Linked DNA regions of Oryza sativa Japonica Group. The protein of the gene in region 2 interacts with the protein of the main gene of each other region in a pairwise test. Links are inferred from orthologs where the notes say so. Each region holds a gene or a part of one and is shown on either strand. Other genes may lie near its edges.

Region 1 (7,779 bases), on a different chromosome or scaffold from region 2:
GCCCTCCTCCTGCCACGTCGGTTCGCGTGCACCACGGTGGCAGGAGGACGGCGCCAGCCTCTCTGGCGCCGTCCCGTTGGATGACGGCGCCAGCCACTCTGGCGCCCAAAAAAGGACCATTTCTGGGATAAGTTTTTTCAGGGGTCTATTTGCGAAATAAGTTTTTTAAAAGGACCAAAATGTGAAAAATCCAGAGCAGATTTCCAGTGAACGACACCATGGTTTTTGTAACTTTTTTTTCCTTCTGCATATATACGTAGGTTACACGAAGGATTTGCGACACAGAACTCAAATTCTGCGTGAAAATTGCGTGCCAAACTTCTAGTTTTTGTTTGTTCCTTTCTGTATCAGACTATGTTCGTTTTGGGCTTGTTACCAAGCTGGGTAATGATTAATGAAAGTTGCCTGTTGTCAAAATTAAAAAAAATGCGTGCCAAAGCAACGGTGTGGAATTGATCAATCGTGCACACAAAGTTTGCCTCAAATGTGAAAAGTGCAAACAAAGTATGGCACAGACATCTCAGGCACAATAATTGTAGCCAGCAGATTCGACAAGCTGCAGTTGAGCTAATGATATATTGTCTCCAACCAAACCAAACACCTCTTCATCGAATTATTAGGATTTGGCCTTATTAGTATAATTGCTCAGAATCACAGAAATTGGCTCAAAGATTTAAAGTAGACGTAAGTTCAGCAATGTATTTTTTTTTCCTCACCTTTTCTAGGCGACTGGATTGTTCTAACTTCTGCAATATACTCCGCAAAGAATGTTATTAGGTTACAAGAGGGAAATAAATGCATGTAGAGCATGAATTATGCAATTCCTGCGTGAGTTTGGTACCCACATTGCAGAGTAGCACAAGAATAATTTGTGTACTACTCTTATGTTGTAGCACATACTCAAGCCATGCCTATCCTCTCAAACCTATTGTAGTGTACTGAACTATTTTCATCTTGCTGTGTGCCAGCAAAACACCTGTACCACTGGAATGTTTCGTGTCTGTCCTGCACCTGAAGATTAGCCTTCCCAACTGATCATCAAAATTGTGTCCGAGATCAACTACACAACCGTACTGGCCAACTGAATTAACCTGTATTTGTAAATGTACATGACATTAACACCAATTGATCAAGGACATATGATAAGATAGAGTATAAACCTTTCTTTTTTGCCACTTAAAAAACATGAACTCCAGAATTCAAATAAGCTAGTGAGCTTCTTTATAAAAAGGTGTTTGTGTGTTCATAGTACTTACCAGTAATGACAAAAATGAAATCCAATCAGGTTCTGTCACACCTACTGAACCATGCGCTTCCTCTTTGATCTTTTGCCCTTCTTTCCGGAGTAATTTGGAAGTTTCTTGTTGCTACTGGAATTGTATCTTTCCTCAGGTCCTCCCTGCTGTCCGTTTTACATCAGTAATTGAAATTTGTTATGATTCACACGGACTATTTTAAGGGGAATAGTGATTTTCTAAGATGACTAGCTTGAACTGTCTACTACACAGTGCTCCAGCAGGACAAATGAATGGTAAAAAAAGATTGAGTACCTCTTCAGTAGTCTCATCATCCGACTCTTCATCCTCTGATGTTGAGGCTGAAAGATCTGAATCTCCTGCAGCAAGCGCTTTGTTGCCTTTTCTCTTGCTCTCCTCTTCTTTCAGCTGTTTAAATCTATTCAAGATATTTTTGTAAAAATCAAAACCAGAATATAATAGGGTTAAAAGCCATGTGAGGTTCAAAAGCACCTTTCACCAGGTTGGGCTGGTTGAGCACTCGTACGTTTTGCTCGTCCTGCAGTAATTATCCCACTACCCCCCTGATTGACAACAGGCTTTGCTCCTCCCAGTTTCCGTAACCAAACTTGCTGGGCTGTGCTGAGGATATTATTTGTGAACCTGATAGCAAACATGGAGTCAATACACATATTGGATTTGATCAATTGCAAGAAGTTAATGAGCAGTGGAGGAGTCCCACAATCTCTATGAGGCATAGCACTATAGCATGGAACATGACTGAAACACTCATACAACTAATAGCAAATGCACATACCAATAAATGGACAACCCTGACGGCACTGACAAAGAGAACCACCCTATCATAAATGGAAGAAATTTCAAAACAAGCAGTGTGTTCTTCTGCGATGGATCATCAGTCTGCAGAAAAAAAGGATCAAATTGCCAGCCACTCATAGCTTGTATAGTGGCAATATGACAGATGATATAGTAATTTAGAGCACCGCTCGTCTGCTCACCTGGGGTGGCTTCATGATTTCCATAGAGACAAACTGAGAAGCAACAAGTAGCACAGGCAACACAAGATAACATATCGTGTCATGCCAGCCTAATGGAGGATGGCCATCCTGCACAATTCATTTAAGTTGTAAGTATGATTTACCATCTCAATATTATGCAAGTACATGAGTAATATGCTGTTTTACTATCATGTCTCTACAGGACTATAAATTGGTATGCCACGCCATTTATTTCAACCAGAGTTCTAAATAATAGGCAACAAAATGCGAGGTGCAAATAGCTAAGCTTCTTGTTGCTTGATTGCTTAAATGACTATGGGCAGAAACGTGACACTAATCTAACTTGACGGGTATGTCAAAGTCAAATAAGGGGGGAAAATGAGGTTAAATTCGCTCAAGTGCACTATAAACCTGATTTTCCTAGATCAGCAATGAAATTGTTGATATATGTTAACGTGTGATCAATTTTATTACCACAAAAGGCAAGAGCCAAGAAATGCCAGCACCACTTTGCCGAGCAGCAATTGTTGTAGGGCCTCCCAAAGATGGAATCCAGAAAAATCCTTCTGTCAGTAATCCCTTCAGAGAAATATAAGCCACTTAGAACAAAATCCTCTTAATGAAGCAAATATTAGGAAGCAGGATTTGAGTTTTACCTCGTTTGCTACATTTGAAAGGGCTTGGTAGAGGCCAATCCAGACAGGTATTGTTGCCAAAGTTGGAAAACATCCTGGAAGAGAAACCATAATATCAAAACACTATATCACAAAAGCAATCTCACTTAAAACTTTAAAAAGCCAACAATTGGTTTTGCAAGCACATGATGGCAATAGATGCATTATGTCGAGAAATAGAAAATATGATCAACTAATAAATAACAAACTCATACAAAAAAGATGCAATGGAACAATTCAACTATCAAAGTTAATAGGCTAAAGAATGGAGAAGTAAGCGACCTGCCAGAGGGTTGACTCCAGCTTGCTTGTATAACCGAGCAGTCTCAAGCTGTATCCTTTCCTAATAAGAGTTATGTAGGAGTGATAGATCAGAAATGCCCAAAGATATGTGCTTGAAAATATAAAACACAACAGTGAAATAAGAACATTTTTTGGGAAGATAGTTCTACCTTCTATCGTTAAAATATGCAAAACATATATCCAGAAACAAACCTCAGTGTTCCTACTTTAATATCCATGGCGTGCGTAAAAGATAAACAAAACAAACCTGATTTCCTGCATATCTCTGTTGAATTGCTTTGATCTGTGGCTGTAAATTCTGCATAGCCAGAGTTGATTCGACCTAAAAAAAGAGAGGAAAAACAGCACAACTCTCAACCCACCATATCCATGTTACTCATTAATTAAAAAATAGACCAGATTTTATCATTTACCTGTTGTTTCGTTAAAGGTAATGTTGCAGCCTTCACAATAACAGTGAGAAGAATGATGGCGAATCCATAAGAGTACGGCACATGAACAGCTGACAGGCCATCCTTCAGCACCTGTATGGTGATACTCACATAGTATCAGCATTCCGGAGCCGATGAATGCTATGCAATAAAATCCTAACAGTTCTTGAATTGTAACATTTCATATCAAAACCTGTGGATAGGAAAATGCTAAACAATGCACGCCTGGTCATAACTAGATATAAGTTACTTAAAAATAACCATGCCGGGTTGCCGTCTGCTCAATGTTTAGTAAGTTTCAGAGCATGGAGGCGTCATAATTAAGTGCATGCACATCTACTCCTGCACTCTCCACGAACTTACATGACTCCAAATCTCCAATTCCCCAACCAATTCACCAGACCAACTTTTGCAACTCAGGGATATATCCATTAACCAATCTTAGCAATCCTGAACCTGAACTCCTAAAGTGACTTGGATTCCTATAGGTTTGGGAGAAGACGGCGGCGCTTACCTTAAGCACGACCTCCAAGGCCTCGGAGATGAACCCGAACCACCCCCCGTTCTTCTGCGCCACCGACGCCGCCGCTTCACCGCCACCACCACCGCCACCCCCTCCTCCTCCCGCCGCCGCGTCCGCCGCGACGACAGCGGCGTCGGCGAGCGTGTAGAGCGCCGCCTCGGCGCGCTCCAGCGCGGCGTGGAGGTCGAGCCCCGCGATCGAGTCGAGCCCGTGGAGGCTCGCCCTCACCCTGCACGCCGACGCGCGGCGGCCCCCGTGCCTCCGCAGCGAAGGCAGCGTCAGCATAGGCAGCCTCGCGGCGGCGGCGCGGGGCTGCAGCGAGGGGAGCAGCGACGAGGAGAGGAGCGCCTTGGCCATCGCGGGGGGTGCGGGAGGGAGGGGGGTTTAGAGGGGGGGGGGGTCTAGGGTTTCATGCACGAACGCCGAGGCGGAGGAGGAGGAGGAGGGTGGAGGTGGGGGGTGGGGGGTGGTGAGTGGTGGTGGTGCGAGAGGAGGAAGAAGAGGTAGTCGTTGGAGGGGAAGAGGCGGAGGTGGGGGATGCTTTATCTTCTTCCTCCTTTCCGCGCTCTTTTGCTGTGGACTCGGTGCACAACTCCACTTCGCCACTTCATCAAAGCGGCTCACTACTACAGTGTACGTAATACTCCCTCTGTCCTAAATGAAACTAAAACTGTATGTAATATTTTCTATTATAATATAGAGTCTATTATGATACATTATACTTGAAAACGTCCCATCCAATTTTATATTCTAATATTTTAGAATAGGTAGTAATGATTTTTCGAGGTTTTGACACGAATAACGTTTCCGTTCCGTGTCGAAACCTCGAAAAATTTGTAAGATGGTTTTCGCCTAAGCACCGGATCCTGATCCATGTGGATATAACGGTTTTTGTCAATTTTTTTATAACTTTTCGTTTAATTTTGGTCAAATTGACTGTTTCAGATTTGAACCATTCTAAATTTCAGTCATAACACTATCAAAACCTCGAATTTTTGCGGTTTTCAATTGGTTTTTATCGAAAACATGAATCCTAATGTCTACACTTCTGTTCACTTCAGTTCGATTTTAGTGAAAAGCCTCCTTGGGGACAAAAATAAATTTTGAAGGACCTTCGTATACAGGAATTACACTGATCTATGCAGAAACCATTTGAAAAAAAAAATGTATTTCAAAGAAACCCCGAGTATTTCGCAACCAACCTTTTTGGCATATTTTTTCTTTAAACATGCACTATATTCAGATTCAACGATGCAATCGTAATTTCATTACAATCATACCCTACATATCAGTTTTCTGAACGTTATTATCATTTTTTTTCTAAACCCATTTTGACAATTGGGTATAGATCGACCAAATGTAAGGCCCCGTTTGAAACACGTGAACTGTTTCCCTGATTCTTGTGAATATTTTGTGTTTCAAACTTTCAGAATGTGAAATACAAACTGAATTGTGCAGCATTGAACAAAGACCGCACCGGTAATAGTACTACTTTGACAGCACGGTAACAGATGGTCAATGTCTGCTAGTAACAGCCTGGTTTCTGAATGATCGGCCCGGGTGAGAAGAGATTGTTTGCCTGAAGAAAATCGAGTGTGGTCAAGGGACTATCTGAAGAATTCGCGAACATTGTATCAGTGAAAAATTATTCACCATTCGTCAGAAAGAAAGAAAAGCACACGACAAACAATGAAACAAACATCACTGGGGTTCAGACTTTCAGAACAGAAGCTGTGATTGTTTCACGACCACACACAACCATCGGTCTCAAGCACATTACGCTCCTTTCTCCATGGCTACACAAACTACAGAACTCGTGAGAAGCAGGCCACGGTAGCATGGCTCATTGCTGGCCACACGCAAGCCCGAAAATATCATTTGCTACAGTCCAGGTGAAAAAAAGATCTTTGCTTCACCATAGCATCCAGGAAAGGTGCAATTTACTGTAGCAAAAAAAAAAAAAACAGAAATTTTGATCACTTCAATTCAGGATTCAGCAAACGGGTTCACCAAACGGAATTCGCATAGGAGCATATCGATCATGAAGTTAGTACAGCAATGGGATCGAGTTTTTGGTTTCAGTTGAAAGCGATCCAGCCAGTAGTATTGTAGTACAGCACATTGAAATGATTAAGACAGCGATTACAAACAATTGCTGAAATTGACAACACAGTTCCGAACTTCTAGTCGTAAGTAGCTGTCGACATTATTATGGAGTAATGAACCGTTGAACTTGATCATCAGATATATATACAGAATTTTAACTTTGCCATGTTCCATAGAAATCAAGATCTCCAATATAGTGGTGCTAGTGTAAAAAGTACAGGGGAGAATCAACAAAGTGGTAACTTTTTTGCCTAAATCACCAACACTACTGAGAAAGGAATTTCAGCTAAATGTTTAGCAGCAAAATATCCATGGCATCACTTGTTACTTTCCTGCATATCATGGCATGACACAGGAAGATCTAAAGACTAAACTGTTTTCTGTTCTATGATAAAAGAAGATCGTTTTCACCAAGGTGTGGGGGCCTCATGCAAACCTGGACTTCATGCTCTTCGGGTCCAACTCGGTGCTTGGGGACCATGATTTCCAGTCCAGTGCCAGTCTCGTCATAATACGCTTCGAGCTTTGCATCTTCTGGAATCCTTGTAGCCAAAGGTATCTCTCTCACAAATTCTCCAGGAGGGCAGTGCTCAGGGAAAGGATCAGTCAACTTGAATGTCCTGTCATGTCTCTTAACAAAGGGCATTCGAGCAGTGCTCACACACGATATCTTCACAATGCCATGTGTCAATGTGTTCCTCCAAGAGACCTTGACACTGTGAGGATCAGAGAAGAGCATGCTCACCATGATTAAGTAGCCTTCATCGTCCTCATATATTGTCTTGGCAGCCGTAACAGGTCCACTTGCATGTTTTGCTACACCAGTGAACTCATGCATCCATGACGGCTCACCTGTGTGAACTTCTATCTCTTGCTCTCTGTCAGAACAAGAATTATTTGCCATCACGCAATCCTCATCTGCACCATGAGCAAAGAAGTCCTTCCGTCGCTTGGCGCATTTTGGTGAAAGGTCCATCCCATCGTCTGATGATGGTGGCGTAGAAAGGTTAAGACCTGAACCATTCAGTGCCTTTTTGTGACTGTGAGAGCCATGTGTAATCTTTGATGACAGTGGCAGTGGCCTATCAAGTTCGAAATCAGTGCTTGGAAGATTCCTCCATGATTCAAAGTCACTTGCTTCAGGAGGAATTGAGAAATTAAGTTCTCTTCCTGTAAGTTCCGCCCACCTTTTCATTTCAGCTTCAGGAACAGCTGACAGATTTGGTGAACTCACAATCTCTATCCCATGAAGGCATTGTGGGTTGGACAGCCCTCGATAGTGCTTTCGTTGCATGCGGTGTGACCTTGCAAAGCCCTTATCTGCACTGAATGGAAAGGATGGCTCACCATGCTTGGAATGCCCATTCATGAAGCTCCGGAGCTGCATCTTCCCGAGGGCATTGTCAGGCCGTTCCTTAAAAACCCACATGTACATGTTCTCCATGTCATGCTGCACCAGGAAGACATCAAGGCGAAGATCAGACTTCT
Region 2 (7,863 bases):
ATACGCAGCAAGAAAGTAAAAGGTGCCCCTCACATGCATAACATATCAAATGTAACTGTATGTCCCACTGTCTTGCGCAGCAATCAGTTCTGGCAAAAAAGTTACTGACTGTGATCTTCAAAAAGATAGAAGTAGTAAGGATGCCCGCTAACAGAGGGAAATGTTGTCCAGTCCAAGGGATGGCATATTTACATCATACAGTTTATGAATCACATAACCAACATAGGAATATCTATGATTTATATAAATCCAGAAGGATGAAAGTCTTGACTATAAATTGCATCCTAAATTCTCTTGTATGTGGTTCTGAACCAACTGAATGTAGCAAATGACCTTACCACCACCAAAGACTAGCATTTGGCCATACCACAAGATACTTATAAATAGGATCTAGGATATTTTCTGATGATATGAGCCATGAATGAGTTTAACCAGTCTGGTTGGCATAAGTTGTGCAATTACTACAACTCCAAATTTCCTATGATAAAGAAAACAGAATATCTTCATGAACAGGTGTGCCTCACATGAATCTAACACTGCAGAGGAGACAACAGACTGTTTAGTGGTTACTGACTTCTTTAGAGGATTGCAACCTGAGTTTTGGAGTTCTTTAATACATCATGTCACTACGAAAACAGTTTCCATTGATAACTACACAAAGATAAGGACCATTGCCAATTTCTGTAACAGACAACCATTGCACCGAATTAACCAAGCAGATGGACAAGAATGAGCTGATGAGCAGGAACATATACATTATGCACATAAACTAAAAATTCGGATGCGGTGAAAGAACAATATTTATTCTAATGGAAGAACAATAACTCACTGTTTTTATGAAGGCAGCTGTACTTTTCCCTGGCCGTACAAGCGGTATTGAAGCACCTTGCCGCTTCAATTGCTCACTAAGATCATCAGGATCCAATTGAAGGAAGGTGTAATAGTAATTGAAAAAGGCTATAAGCAGTACATTAGTTGGAATATACAAAGCACCTGCAGCATGAAGTTAACAGAAAGTGATTTACATGCAAACAAAATGTCTATTGCATTGCCATCTCCCATATAAAGACAACAAATTTCAAAAGAATTATAGAAACTCCTTGTTTACCTCCTGGATTTAGGGATATGGCAGCCTTTTTAAGAAACTCTAAGCCAGTAAATCGTGCCAAAGTACCAGGCAAAGCCAAAGAAGATGTAGAAAATATTATAGGCATGACACCAGAACTATTGACCTGCTCATAATGGTAGCATAGTAAGTCATAAGCAATATTTCCTTTGGTAATTTGTAAGGTAGGACATAAAAAATCAAATAAAATGGAAATTAGAACAATTATGACTCCCAATGATGGAGAGAGGTTAAGAAAAAAAATATTAGAAGCTTGATCTTATTTCATTTGCTAAAAAATAACAGAATAATTGTGTGCTTGGTCCTACAGGCTCCAACTCTTGTTAGATCAAAGTTATTTAGATTGTTAAGTCAGAACATATGGGTGATATCCTCTGGCTTTAATTCGTCCATACACCCTCTACAAAGTTATTTAGGGCCTGTTTGGAGAGCTTAAAATTCTGAGAAGCAACTGGCTGGTAGGCAGCTTCTGAGAATCTGGAAAAGCTGAGTTTCCCAGCTTCTAGCTTCTAGTTCATTTTCTAGATTCTACAACTACAGCTTCTCAGAATCTAGACCAAAAGCTGGACTGTTTGGGGGAGCGTCTGATTCTAGGAGAAGCTGCAACAGCTAGAAGCTCCCCCAAACATGCCCTTAGATTGTTAAGTCAGACACCCAAAAGTGCCAATGGAACGGTTTAAAGTAATAAACAAAGAAAAATAGAAAGTGAACCAAAAAGGTGAATTGAGTGTCATTCAAATGAACGGTTAGAAGAGTACAGACAACATATAATCAAGAATAACAACTAGGAGTCTGCATACCAACTTTCAGAATTATCCCTTATTTTGCACGAAACCACAACTATCAAATGAAGATAGGTCATTCTTCCAACATGTGGTAAGTCACAATGCAAATGTAATACTATCAATAAATTTGGAGAAAGTTCTGAATTGTAAGTATTCAAATGAGAAGCATCCAGAGTATCAACTAAAAGCTGAAGCTCAAACTCAACCCTTGCACAAAATATATGGAAATATAGACATTAAATAGAATTAAATGGAAGCACAGCAAACCTTAAATGGTAGATATGCAGATCGTTGGAGCCCTCCACTCCGACTACTGTATCGAGAAGCATAATTTAGCGGAATTTTCCTCTCGGCTTCCTGAAACCACCCAAGTGATCTCAAATAAGCAATGAGCAATTTGAGAGGAATTCCATATGTATCTTGACAAATTAAAACCTGCTTACTTGGACATAAACAATCCCAAGAACTAAGAAAAGGAACGATAATATGATTGTCAGAAGCCCAACATAATTCCCATCTTGAAATGCCTGTGCAACTGTCCTTCCAAACGATGCAGGTAAATACGATATTATACTTGTAAATATAAGAAGAGATGTTCCATTTCCGAGTTTTAAATCAGATATTCTTTCGCCAATGAAAGTTGTAAACACCGATCCAAGCGTCAGTAGTGTCACAGATGTGAGGACCCATTCTGTGCTGAAGTCATTAACATAAGGACGAAGAAAAAGAACTTGCCCAATAGCCTAGCAAGAAGTAAACAAATTAAAGAAACCAGCCAGGAAGGTACTAGAACATTCCGAATTTTCAATCAAATTAAGGAATATTTTGTAACTAATAACCACAAAATACTATGAAGTACTAGGAGTATAGTACAACCAGGCAAAGCAGAACAGAGTTTTTCCATAGTTAACTTAACAGCACAAACTTAATTGGGTAAAACAAAAGGTTGATTTTTATTTTATGTGCTTCAACAGCATATTTACTTTGCCAATTAGCATGTGGAAATAAGTTCCAGAGTATTTGTGATATGTTAAGCATTTGTCCTCTACGCCAGAGCTAGGTCATTGCTGTATAAAAAATATAGTTTCTCAAAAAACTTTAACTTCTCAAAGCACCCAGCATTCCTAAAATCTGGAAGATTCACAGTCATATTTTGTGACATGTTCAATACAAGTCAAAAAGGTTAAAGGTATATTATCAAGTAAAGGTCAGTTGGTATATAATGTAACGACTAGCGACATAATATTCTAGAGCTTCATATAGATATGTTTGCTCAAGTACTCCGAAATCTAGACGAGACTAACTGTACCCCCTTGGCACCCTGGAAACCGACATCCCACGTCTTCCAATTTTCAATCAATCATGTTGACAAATAAATATGATAAGTGCTCCAAGAATCTAACCTGGACAATTGCAAAACCAACAGATGCGTATCTTGTATACTGAAGAACCTTCTTTCTTCCTGCCTCTCCTTCTTTTTTCTGAAGATCTTGCAATTTGGGATAAAGTTGTGCAAGAAGCTGAAACACAATCTGTGCATTGATAAATGGAACAATGCCAAGGGAGCATATTCCAAGTCGGCCAATACCTCCACCAGAAAAAGAATCCAAAGTGCCTAGTAGACTGTTCTGGTCAAGATTACCAGCGAAAGCATCCCGGTTCACTCCACCCAGAGGTATATAAATACCAAGTCGAGACAAGGCCAAATAACCAAGGAGCTTCAAGAACTTCCCAGGTAGAGGACCCTTGAAGAAGTCACCAATGTCAATGGAACTATCTTCAATTGCAGCTGCTCAAAAGGGAACTACTTGGGTTAAGACACATTTTAAATAGGAATTCTAGTTGGTTAAACTTATTAGGCTGCGTTCAGGAGTGAGGGTTGGGAACCTCACTCCCACGCACGGAAAACGGAGCAGCGATTAACGGATGATTAATTAAGTATTTGCTAAAAAAATTTTCAAAAATGGATTAATATAATTTTTTTAAGCAACTTTTGTATAGAATTTTTTTGCAAAAAACACACCGTTTAATAGTTTGAAAAGCGTGCGCGCGGAAAACGAGGAAGGGAGGTTGGGAAAGGGAGGGAACGAACTGAGCCTTAAAGTGGATTCAAGCTGCAGATACATGAACAACATAGGTCAATGCTCGTAAGTAATTGAACAGTAACAGCCTATGAGGCATGCATGGGTAAAATAAGTTTTTGCACTGATAGAAAAATATGAACATAACTTGAGTTAATTTTACAAACAACATGAAAAGTTAGAGTAGTAGTTCCACATATTTATAACAAGCAAGATCCTGCTGATAACATTATGTCAAAACCATGTGTAATCAAGAGGTTTCCTTTCACGCATACTGAAGTCTCTAGGATTTACCATTACCAGATTACATCTGTGTTAAAAAAAATCTAAGTACTACGTAAATTACATGGTAGCTCTCTCAGAACTTCATCATATTACTTAGATGGAAAATTTTCAATAATTTCTTCACTAACAATTTACTAACATAACATCGTCTTCAGCTCAAACTACGCATTTATCCTAATAAGTAATAACACGCTCCTACAATGATGTAGAATGGTACTGCATAGGTAAATTAGTACAGATATTCCAAAAGCATTTAACAACAAATTCTCAAAGTTACACGCACAAAAAATAGGAAGGGGTTAACTTGGCAACCTGCTGCTCCTCGTCCATAGGACTTCTCCTTCCTGCCGCCGCTCGAGCTCCCGAACACCGGCGACAGTACTCCGAAGAAGTTCGACAGCGGGGACTGCGTGTCATTCCTCGAAGGCCCATCGTTGTACAGCCCTAGGGGATCAAAGCCAGGGCCAGCCGTCTCCAACGCGCACCTGCGAAGCGGATAAGCAAAAAAAAGATCGAAATGAAGCGGAGCTCCTCCGCCAATGCGGGATGAAGCGCGTACGGCGCAATTTTACTCTCGAGAAGTGATGCTGGTATGCTACCTGGGGGAGCAGGGCAGGGAGGCTCCCCTCCTCCTCCTCGCCGCCGACGCCGACGCCGACGCGGCGCGGCGCCCACGGAAGCGGAGGGAGGCGGGAGCTCCGGAGACGGGGGACGCGGAGGAGGGTGCGCGTGGAGGAGGAGGAGGGGGAGCGCGCGCGCGGGTGGGGAGCCAGCATTGCTGCGGGGTGGCCATGGCCGCCATGGGTGGAGGGAGACGGACGAGTGGATTTGGGAGGCGATAAGCGAGGTGAAATGAGGAGGTGGCAGCGGCGCAGAGGATGGGCCCTGGGCTCTGGGCCCTGGGCCTCAGCCGGGCTCGTGGTCGTGGGCCGTAATTAGCTTAGGCTTAGCCGCTAAAGCACATCTCTGTTAGGAAAAAGTACATCGAAGGTCCCTCAACTTGTCCTCGAGTTACAAAATCGTCCCTAAACTACAAAACCAGATACCCGGCGTCCCTTAACTAATCAAAACCGGTCACAATAGGTTCTTTAATGGTTTTGACTCCGGTTTTAACCTACGTGGCAGTTGAGTCAGCGTGGAACCCACATGGGGCCCACGTGTCAGTATGCCACGTCAACTCTTTTTCCCCTCTTCTCATCCTTCCTCAGATGGGACCCGCTTGTCAGGTGTCTCTTCTACCTCCTTCCCTGCGCCAACACAGAGAAGAGAGGTGTCTCTTCCTCAGAAGGACGGCGAGGCTCCAGCGGCTCGGCAGCAGCGGCCGGCCGGCAATGGGGAGGAGGTCGTCGGGGCGAGGAGGTCCACCTTTCTCCACCAGCCGCCGGCGGCGGTAGAGGAGCTTCGCCGGAGATCAAGCGGAGCCGCAGAGGCACAGCGGGCTGCTCCTCTCCCCGCCCCGTGTCGCCTCTTCCTCCTCGTCGGGCCACCGCCGCCACCGCCACCAGATCGTCGATCCCGTGCCTCTCCTTCCCGGCCACCAAGAGACCCACGCGCCCGGAGCAGGTGGATTCGGGGCCGCATCGAGGTAGAGGTGGCGGGTGGCGTCGCCTCCGAGCTCACCGATTTGCGCCTCCATCCTCTGGTCTCACCGCCCCGCTTCTACTTCTACCCCCATTTTCCTTGTTGCTCGTTGGAATCAGCTGCTTAGATTCGATCCTTGCTTTCTTTTTCCTTTTTTTTTTCATTTCCTAACCAGTTGCTTGCAGAGTAGAGTATAGTAACTTGTTAGAATCAATTGGTGTATGATTTGCTCAGAGTAAATGGTATGCGTAGCGTAGCGCTGTCAATTAACAACAATGGATTTATTATGTCATGCGAATTGTACTGTGATTTCATTTCGTTTTACCTGAAATTAGTATCACCGCCTATTCTATTTCTACTTCCTCCGTTTCACGATTTAAGTCATTATAGCATTTCTCACATTCATATTAATGTTAATGAATCTAAATAGATATATATGTCTAGATTCATTAACACCAATATGAATGTGGAAAATGCTAGAATGACTTACGTTATGAAACGGAGGGAGTATATCACAACCGGTATGGATACTCGGCAGTGTCACTGATGCCTGTCCATCTACTGCTAATTACCATGACAGAATATCACAACCGGCGAGCAGGCGGCGACGCAGGGGACGGAGCCGAGGCGGAGGTAAAGGAGCGGGCCGTGGCACGCGGCGAGGCGGTGGAGCGCCTGGTGCGGCAGCGGCGTGAGCAGGTGGAGGTGGCCCAGGATGGGCAGCCCGAACGGGCTCGGCGGGAGGCGCAGGCCTGGTCCGGCCGGTCGTCGGATCTCCTCGCCCCGATGACCTCCCTACCGCCGGCCGCTGGAGCCACGTCGTCCTTCGCTACTCTTCCTCTCCTCTCTGTGTTGGCGCACAGGGAGGGAGGTAGAAGAGACACTTGACAAGCGGGCCCCATCTGAGGAAGGGAGAGAAGAGGGGAAAGAGAGATGACGTGGCATCATGACATGCGGGGTCCACATGGGTCCCATGCTGACTCAGCCGCTACGTAGGCCAAAACCGGAGTCAAAACCACCTAAGGACCTGTTGTGGCCGGTTTTGATTAGTTAAGGAATATCGGATATCTGGTTTTGTGGTTGGGGGATGATTTTGTTTCCTCTCTGTTAACGCAGATCGGCCTGTGATTGATTAAGACTTGTTTTGTCGATTTAGGTTTGTGGTTTGGGCTGGGCCAAAATTCACTTCAGTTTTCGTTTTCCCCAACGAGAACACTTGCCATAGTTTCTAAAAGAGAGAGAGAACATTTGCCATGTCGATGGGCCTGTTTAAATTATAACCAAAAATAAACCTTACCAAATTTTGGAAGGATTTCTTCTGTATTTATTAAATTTGGTAACAAACTATATTTTTTTTTGACAACTTTACTTAAAAAATAGTATGGTTGAAAATTGCATTAATTTGAACAGCCCCGATGTTGACAAGAGATCGATCTCATCTACGATCTTTTGTTAATTTGATGTCAGAAATCATTTAGCCATCTCCAGATAGAAATTGAGATATCCTAATGTAAGACGAAGAAGTCTAACATGGGACAAAAACAACACATAAATTAAATTGATCAATGGGTATGTGAATATGAGATGTATTTTTTTTTCAATTCGTAGCTCCTTTATAAAACATACGGTCTGCATCATCCAAATTATTTGGCATGAATTTCTGAATAAATGTCATTTTCATAAGAAAAGAACAACACAAATAAACAAATTTCATGAAAAATTCTGATACGCCACAAAGTTGGAGAGCATACTCAACATCTACCACAAAGTTAAGTGGCATTACAGATTTGCTACAAAGTTCAGCAGAATACCCTCGTTTGCCCCCCACCTTCTTTTTCTACCCTAATCTTCTTTCATTTCCCATCTCTTCTTGGATTCTCGACGAAACGACGACATGCATCCGTGAGTAGAGCACTGGCGAGAGATGGTGGCTGAGTATCGACAAGCTGTTGACGTAGAGCACTAGCAAGCGCCTGCCGCAAGGACGAGCGGCAACGGACTGAAC
Region 3 (7,690 bases), on a different chromosome or scaffold from region 2:
CGCCGCAGCGTTCATCGGCTCCCGCGAGGCCGGAGCGTGGGCGTCCGGCGTGGCCGTCCTCTGCGGCGCGCTAGCCACGGCGGAGGCGCTGGCCGGCGCCGCCGCGCTTGCCGCGGCGTTCATCGGCTCCGGCGAGGCCGGAGCGTCGGCGTCCGGCGTGGCCGTCCTCTGCTGCGCGCTGGCCACCGCGAGGCGCTGGCCGCCGCGCTCCCTCGCTTGCTGCGCTTGCCAGGGCGGGAGGGAAGGAGGACCGGGCGGAGCCCGGGTCGGCGCCGCCGCCGTGGTGGTGGTCGCAGTACTCCATGACGCGGGCGAGGGCGGCGCCCTTGACGACTTCGGGGAGGTTGACGACGACGTCGTCCTCGCCGCCGCCGCCGCTGCCGCGGCCCTCCTCGAGCATCCTCCTAATCGTGCCCGATGCCGCGGTGATCACCTTCGATGAGGACGGAACGGGAGCGGGAGAAGAAGAAGAGGGCGACGCCGCCGCCGCCGGCCGCAGGCCGCCGTCGCAGCGCCGCCGCCCAGCCGTCTGCTCCCTACCCCGTCGGCCTGGCCTGAGAGAGAGAGAGAGAGAGAGCAGAGAGGGGAGGAAGGGAGAGAGAAGAGGGGAAATAGAGATGATGTGGACACCTGACATGTAGGGCCACGTGGGTCCCACGCTAGGGAGATCAAAACCAACTAGGGACGTTGGATGACCGGTTTTGTATAGTTGGGGGACCCGGGTGTCTGTTATTGCGGTTCAAGGACGTTTCTGTATCTCGGTGACAAGATCAGGGACCTCCGGTGTACTTTTTCCTTTTTTGTTGACCCAAAAAATAGTTCCAGTTCTTGAGCTTCGCAACAAGAGGAGGACGATGGCTTGGGTGGCGCTGGAGTGCGGGGCCACGGTTGTTTGGGGCAATGGGGTGGTTCCGTTGGTGTATTGCTAGTGAGCTTGCCCCAGTTAGTAGTAGGGTTTGTTTGGTAGATCTCCAACTCCTAAATTTAGCTTCAGGAATTAGGTTTGGAGTGAAATTGTGGAGCAGACTAAACCCAACTCTACCTCTCTAGTTATTGTTCATTTTGTGAGAGCGCTCCATCCAGCTCCGCTCCCATTTTAAGTGGAGCTGAAACTGTTTTGCTAGACTCCAACTCCAGGAACTGGAGATGTGGCAAACAGTCCTGTAGTATTATACATTGTAGTACTGAACCTAGTGCTTGAGTAATAAAAGATACTGCATCCTTTTCATATTACAAGTTTTTTTAACTTTTTCCTACTGAAATTTCTTTAGGTTTGATAAGTTTCTAGAAAATTTAGCAACATTTATAATACCAAATTAGTTTCATTAAAAATAACATTTGAATATATTTTGATAATATGTTTGTTTTGTATTGAAAATGTTCCTATATTTTTCTATAACCATGATCAAACTTTTTTAAATTTAACTATAAAAAATCAAAGCGACTTATATCGGAGGGAGTAGTAATGAAATTGCTTGATTCAGGGATAGTAATAAGAGCATACGAGCATAATGGCTTTTAGTCACCTGTAATAGGATGCAAAAAAAATTATTTATTTAAGCTTCGGTTAATCAACATGACACACTGTTATTGCACCAACTGTTTCATATAGGTCTGTGAATAAGTTACCTAATGCAGCTGAAGCTTTTGGTTGATTGCTTCCTGGTGCAATTTATAAATATGAACGTACTAGAAAATAGGCAGTAGCATAACCTTGAATGCTTTGGAGTTTAACCTTATATTCTTATAAATACGGACAGCACAAGTGCACAACATCACATCAGCATAGCACCTCGATAGATTGGCAAACAGAACAAATGGATGCTTGCCGGCTTCATCCAATTGGAACTGCTCGATTTAATTCTTGTCGTCTTCACCATTAGCTTCAGCATTGAAAGGTAGGCCTATACCAGGATTCATGAAAGGTAGGCATTTATTAAAATATGTCTACATTGTTCATGGAACTTTCTTCGCAATCTCCAGCATTTCCTGATAATGCCATCAAAACCAAGATGGTGCTACAGCACAAAAAAGAATCACTGATTTCTGTATAACTGTATAAGCATTGACTGTTTCATGTGGTTCAATACTTTGGGTCATGGGTGTAGGATCTGCAGATTGTAGACAAACAAGTTGTTTATGTATGTGTGGTGCAGAGAATTATATTGTGCAGTTCTGTAAACAGATGGCTGGTTCATGTTTTCCTTTTGTTGTTTTTTTCTGTTAAAAAAATTGACAGCTTCCTCAGCACAGCTGCTTTCTTTACCCCTTATGCCTTCATCTGTAACAACCCCAATATCCCACAGAACTAGTTGGAGAAACACCAGCACCTCAACTCTTACATGCAATCGATAATCAAATTAAAAAGAAGGCAAACAAAGCCAAAGGTCAAAAAAGGCAAAACAGAGTTTTTCCCATTCAGAAAAGAAGAGATGACAAGAGAAGATCCATTGGTGCATAAATCTAGGTCAGCAAGATCTAGTATAAGGCCCCCATTGGGCAATTAGATTTCAGGAAATTCACATATAACCGTCTGATTCCCATTGAGATCCTGTAGTTATTCTACACTCCAAATAGGACATGTCAGATACCAGGGTACTCCTATGATGGTAGCACATGGAATGGAACTGAGTACCACCAGAACTAGGTGGGTGATGAGAGGTGGTGCAGAGCCTAGAGATGGAATAAAGCAAGGCCAACAACAGGAATAGCTAGGATGAACAAGAAACACTAGGTGTAGAGAGTCAAAACCCTAGGGGGGGCATTGCAAGCAGCAACGCCGCTAATCACTAGACAATTGACCATGCTCAGTTCACATGGTGTGGGTAACTACAATGAAGATTATGCCATTATATACAGATAGAAATTAATTCAGCCACACTGTAGAGCACTCGAATAGGTGTTTTTCATGATAATCAATTATGTGAGATCAAAATGACAATGTGCGACTCAGAGATCCAAACAGTGCTACACAGCGAAGTTCAGACATGAGAGCTACACTGTAACTACACTGTAATGAACTCAGGATAATTTGGTCGGTTAATACCACTACATAGAGGCATTCAACCATGTACTCATGTATTGTGGTTGTAGCTATGCAATTTGAGCTAACTTAGACCACTGGAACAACAAATCAAAATTCTTGTGAAATATTAGTAGTATAATAAGTTTATAAAGTAGAACATACATCTAAGGTAGCCAAATATTAGTAGTATAATAAGTTTATAAAGTAGAAAATACATCTAAGGTAGCCAAATATTAGTAGTATAATAAGTTTATAAAGTAGAAAATACATCTAGGTAGCCAGGTAGGTTTCTGAATAGTTGACAAAAATTTCAGGCAAATTCATTGTTTGGAGAAAATCTCCAACCAGAGGTTAGCACAGATCAATAATGTCAAGAACCTAACCATATTTATCTTGCAAAAACACAAGCAGTGTTTGGGTTTCATCGATCACCACTCTACAAGTAGCAATTGCGAGGAGCAGTAATTACGCTAGACACGAACCTTCCGCCTATCTCAGACTCTCAGCTCAACCTTCATCAGAAGAAATCCTGGAGTCCCCGGCCGGCGAAGACGCGGTCGGAGAGCTCGGCGAGGAGCGCGTTGACGGAGAGCAGCGCGGCGGTGGAGCCCGCGATGACGCCGAGCACCACGCCGGTGGTGCCCACCACCTTCCCGGGCGCCGGCCACTCGATCTCCGACATCTCCTGCGCGGCGCCGGCCCACCACCCGCCGCCGCCGGCCGCGGCCTCCGCCTCCTTCCGCGCCCGCAGCACCTCCTTCAGCTCCGCCGCCACCGCCTCGGGGCTCTTCTCCCCTCCTCCTCCTCCTCCCGCCACCACCTCCCCGGCCTCCTCCGCGCCGTCCACCGCCGTGGCGGACGCCTCCTGCTGCTCCTGCTCCTGCCCCTTCTTGTCCTCCGCCGCGCCTGCGCCTGCGCCCTTGGACTTGGAGGCCGCGCGGGCGAGGCGGCCGCGGCAGCCGGCGGCGGAGCGGGAGAGGGATAGGGAGATCGCGGGAGGGCGGAGGGTGGAGAAGGAAGCGCGCGTGGCGGCGGCGGCGGCGGCGGCGGCGGCGGCGGGGGCGAGGAGGCGGGCGGCGGATGGGGTGGTGGTGGTGGTGGTGGTCGGCGTGGTCGCCATGGCTTCCCGGTTTGGTTGGTCCAGCGGCTGTTCGGCGTCGGAGATAAGAAAGAGTCGAGGAGATGGGAGGTCGTCTCCTCTCCTCCTGGAGCCGTCCGATCGCTGATCAACGGTCAGATCAGATGATCAGAGGCTTCGTTTCTTTACTTCTTTTTTTTTTAAGAAACAGAATACGGCTGAGTTCTTTCCCTAAGGCCGAGTTTAGTCCAAACTTTTTCTTCAAATTTTCAATTTTTTCATCACATCAAAACTTTCCTACATACATAAACTTCCAATTTTTCCGTCACATCGTTCCAATTTTAACCAAATTTCCAATTTTGGCGTACACTAAGACTGTGTTTAGTTTCAAACTTCCAACTTTTCCATCACATCGTTCCAATTTCAATCAAACTTACAATTTTAGCGTGAACTAAACACACCCTAACTTTCCCAACTCACGTCTCTCGTTTTCCATGCGCACACGCTTTTTAAACTGCTAAACCGTATATTTTTTATAAAAATTTTCTATACAAAAGTTACTTTAAAAAATTATATTGATCTATTTTTGAAAATAAATTTAATAAATACTTAATTAATCACGCGCTAATGGACCACTTCGTTTTCCGTGCAGAACAGATTTGTTCCCAACACTACCAAACAAAAGCCCTAAACACATGTGCACACTCACACACCTCTATCCATATGAGCAACTTCGGAAAACTAAACTGATATATCTTAATATTAACAAAGTTATCGAGGACACTTTGCTATCGACGAATATGTCGCATATCATTAAAAGAATATTTAGTCATAAATACAATCAACCGTATAAATTTAGAACTTGAACTTAAGAAGCTAATTTCACCTTAAGTAACCAAATCAATTGAACTATGCAGGAACCGTATAAATTTAGAACTTGAACTTAAGAAGCTAATTTCACCTTAAGTAACCAAATCAATTGAACTATGCAGGAAGCTTCGGGTTTTCTCCGTGAGACGTTGCGAAAATGGGAAATTTCTCGGGTTTTTTTTTTAGTTTGCAAACAATAGAACCTGAGTCACAAAGTGGAATTGTCAAGTTGTGGAATTCATGAATGACCATAATTCAAACTGTATGTTTTATGTAAAATTCATGCAATACTGCCAGCATTACGCACTAACACACCCTTAACACACTCAAATAGACCGAGACCGAGGTGGAAGCATTAATTTTTCATATACCTTAACACAATGTACTTTTACCTATATGTTACTCCATACTACATATACTGCTTTTAGAAATGTTTGTAAATGTTTCAGAACTGTGATTTCATTTCATGTTATCATCAGAATACCCGCCCTGCTTACATTTGACAAGGGTGACAGTAGAGATATGAAGAGACTCAAGTGAAGTTCAGAAAACAGTTTTCAGGCATACGCTACAACGTGTCCAATCGGAAACTGATCAACAGATTCATTTGGCGTTGCCAGCAATCTCTCCCCATGTCACGTATCTCGCCGCAATTGAAGCCCTCAATACCTTGTATGGAAGAAACCTGTATTTTGTGGGCATAGTAACAGATGCCAAACATGGCCATTTTTCTCCAGCAAAAACTTTGTACATTTGCAAGTACAGTCCACTGCCAGGCCAATGTAGAGTAGGCCTATTTTCTTCTAGACCATTTGTTGTGGTTTTCTTCAGTTAGTAGGGCAACTGGCAGGGGATTTCTCCAGCACAGATTGCTCACGTTTCCATTGGAGGTGATAACCAGGGATCTGCCTTGGACTCACCCCTTTCTGGATGGGTGGTGAGTTCCATGACTGTAGAGGCCTCCCGATCGGTTGAACAGATGCCAGAAAACCTGGAGGTGCTTCGGCTTTGCGCATTACCTGGAAATAGAATGTGTTGGCATGAGAATGTTGACCACAACAAGTAGTTAATGAGAATGTAGTTGACCTAGGCAGATCCAAGGTTACAATGTACTACTACCTCAGTTTCAGGTTATAAGACTTTCTAGCATTGCCCACATTCATATAGATGTTAATGAATCTAGGCACACATATATGTCTAGATTCATTAACATATATATGAATATGGGCAATGCTAGGAAGTCTTGTAATATGAAACGGAGGAAGTAGTAGTTAACAAGTATAGTAATAGTATAGAGTGAGGTTGATAATGAAAACAAAGGTCATACTGTTAGAACTCTTGAGAAAAATGATGACCCACTCAATGATACTGCCTTCTCAACAGATTCCTTGTCAGTGAAAGTAACAAATGCAGCCCTGCAAGGATATGCAACAAGAAGCCAACAATTAACAACAGGGCAGCTTATAGATGCCACGGGTAAAATAGTTTGAAAGTATATATACCCTTTAGGGTGCCCAGAAATTGCATCTGTCAATATATTTATCTTAAGCACAGTGCCGCACTTCATAAAATGCCCTGACAATGCTTCCTTTGTTGCTGCAAAATGTACCTGAAACAATTATCCAGATGGAATGAGTATGTGCTGATGAGGTTGTTATATTTTGGAACGGAGGGAGTAATTGAATTATGTTCTACAAAAATATTTACCACGAAGAAAAACAAGAAATTATGGAATTGCCTAAAAGGAACAATCAGAAAGGTTCTTACATTTGTCACGAGAACAGTTCTGGAGTCAGCATCCTCATCTAGATTAGCATGGGGACCTAAAGGAACACAAAATATGATTAGAACTTATGTTCATACATTATAATGGCAGGATATCAGAATCACACGCCTGAGCTATTGTATAAAAAGATTATACGGAACACAAATGATGATGATGGCATTGTTCTGGGCAGGGCATCAATGTCGATGTAATGTTGGTTGGAGAGGGGAATATGCCTCCTGTTGAACTAATAATCGTTTTTATTGCTTAACCCAATTACAATTATTCCTAATATAATTTAATTGACACCTTACTAACTTAAAAGAGTCCTAGATTGAATCAAACTAACATATTCCTAACAACTCTACCTTCTTCAACCCTGTTAATCTGTGGTGTTGCTGAAATACACAATGGCATTCTTGAGCTGATAAGTTCGACCAATAAATGAGTCCATAACAGGCATATTGTTAACAAGATTCAAAACCTTCTATCATGAAACAGAATCAACAAATACATAGCTATTTGGTGCAAGTTGCAGAACTGGGACTCGTTCTATGGTAAATAATGGACCTTTTCTTGAAATACATGGGACAACTTTGCAAAATCTTTTCTGCCTTGTCATTATTGGTTCCTCACCTTTACTTTGGTACTCTATAATAATCATCAACTATGCACTTGACATCACTCAGAGTTGCACCGGTGTAACACCTTAGTCCTCACAACTGAATTTGACCACCTCTAATGAACCTTTTGTTAGTTTCCTGGTGGTGTTACAGTATGAGTTTAGGTGAATCGTGTCTACATGGGGACTTTTCCAGAAGAGTCCTGCTATACACACGACCCTGCCATACAACGGGCATCCAACCACACCTCCTCCATCAACCCCTGTTCTCAGCTTATTTCCATTTGGGCCCAGGAAAACAGCAGCTGTGCCTATGTACTGTACTAGTTG

Evidence for each region.
Region 1: the proteins of preprotein translocase subunit SECY, chloroplastic (region 2) and inner membrane protein PPF-1, chloroplastic interact in binary tests that used the Arabidopsis thaliana proteins (3 or more experiments, as listed by UniProt). The link is inferred for Oryza sativa Japonica Group from reciprocal best matches to the Arabidopsis thaliana genes SCY1 and ALB3.
Region 3: the proteins of preprotein translocase subunit SECY, chloroplastic (region 2) and preprotein translocase subunit SECE1 interact in binary tests that used the Arabidopsis thaliana proteins (3 or more experiments, as listed by UniProt). The link is inferred for Oryza sativa Japonica Group from reciprocal best matches to the Arabidopsis thaliana genes SCY1 and SECE1.

Annotation. Positions count from the first base shown.
Region 1 is NC_089035.1:2,775,033-2,782,811, reverse strand, and holds inner membrane protein PPF-1, chloroplastic, read right to left. Parts: upstream 4,719-7,779; 5' UTR 4,543-4,718; coding exon 4,177-4,542; intron 3,756-4,176; coding exon 3,645-3,755; intron 3,554-3,644; coding exon 3,479-3,553; intron 3,272-3,478; coding exon 3,211-3,271; intron 2,985-3,210; coding exon 2,911-2,984; intron 2,834-2,910; coding exon 2,729-2,833; intron 2,363-2,728; coding exon 2,255-2,362; intron 2,157-2,254; coding exon 2,053-2,156; intron 1,899-2,052; coding exon 1,749-1,898; intron 1,675-1,748; coding exon 1,551-1,674; intron 1,403-1,550; coding exon 1,298-1,402; 3' UTR 1,257-1,297; intron 1,092-1,256; 3' UTR 673-1,091; downstream 1-672. Other genes in the region: uncharacterized protein, read right to left, coding at 6,677-7,779. UniProt on the Arabidopsis thaliana protein: Required for the insertion of some light harvesting chlorophyll-binding proteins (LHCP) into the chloroplast thylakoid membrane.
Region 2 is NC_089042.1:9,459,191-9,467,053, reverse strand, and holds the start of preprotein translocase subunit SECY, chloroplastic, read right to left. Parts: upstream 5,101-7,863; 5' UTR 5,080-5,100; coding exon 4,877-5,079; intron 4,763-4,876; coding exon 4,590-4,762; intron 3,701-4,589; coding exon 3,315-3,700; intron 2,655-3,314; coding exon 2,355-2,654; intron 2,269-2,354; coding exon 2,179-2,268; intron 1,233-2,178; coding exon 1,109-1,232; intron 994-1,108; coding exon 830-993; intron 1-829. UniProt on the Arabidopsis thaliana protein: Involved in protein export. Probably interacts with other proteins to allow the translocation of proteins across the chloroplast thylakoid membranes. Required for normal greening during embryogenesis. Central subunit of the protein translocation channel SecYE.
Region 3 is NC_089038.1:14,052,633-14,060,322, forward strand, and holds preprotein translocase subunit SECE1, read right to left. Parts: upstream 4,163-7,690; 5' UTR 4,146-4,162; coding exon 3,543-4,145; 3' UTR 3,508-3,542; intron 2,112-3,507; 3' UTR 1,533-2,111; downstream 1-1,532. Other genes in the region: uncharacterized protein, read right to left, coding at 5,801-5,992, 6,301-6,388, 6,476-6,582, 6,741-6,796. UniProt on the Arabidopsis thaliana protein: Involved in the import/insertion pathway in the thylakoids. The signal recognition particle is not involved in the insertion of SECE1 in the thylakoid membrane.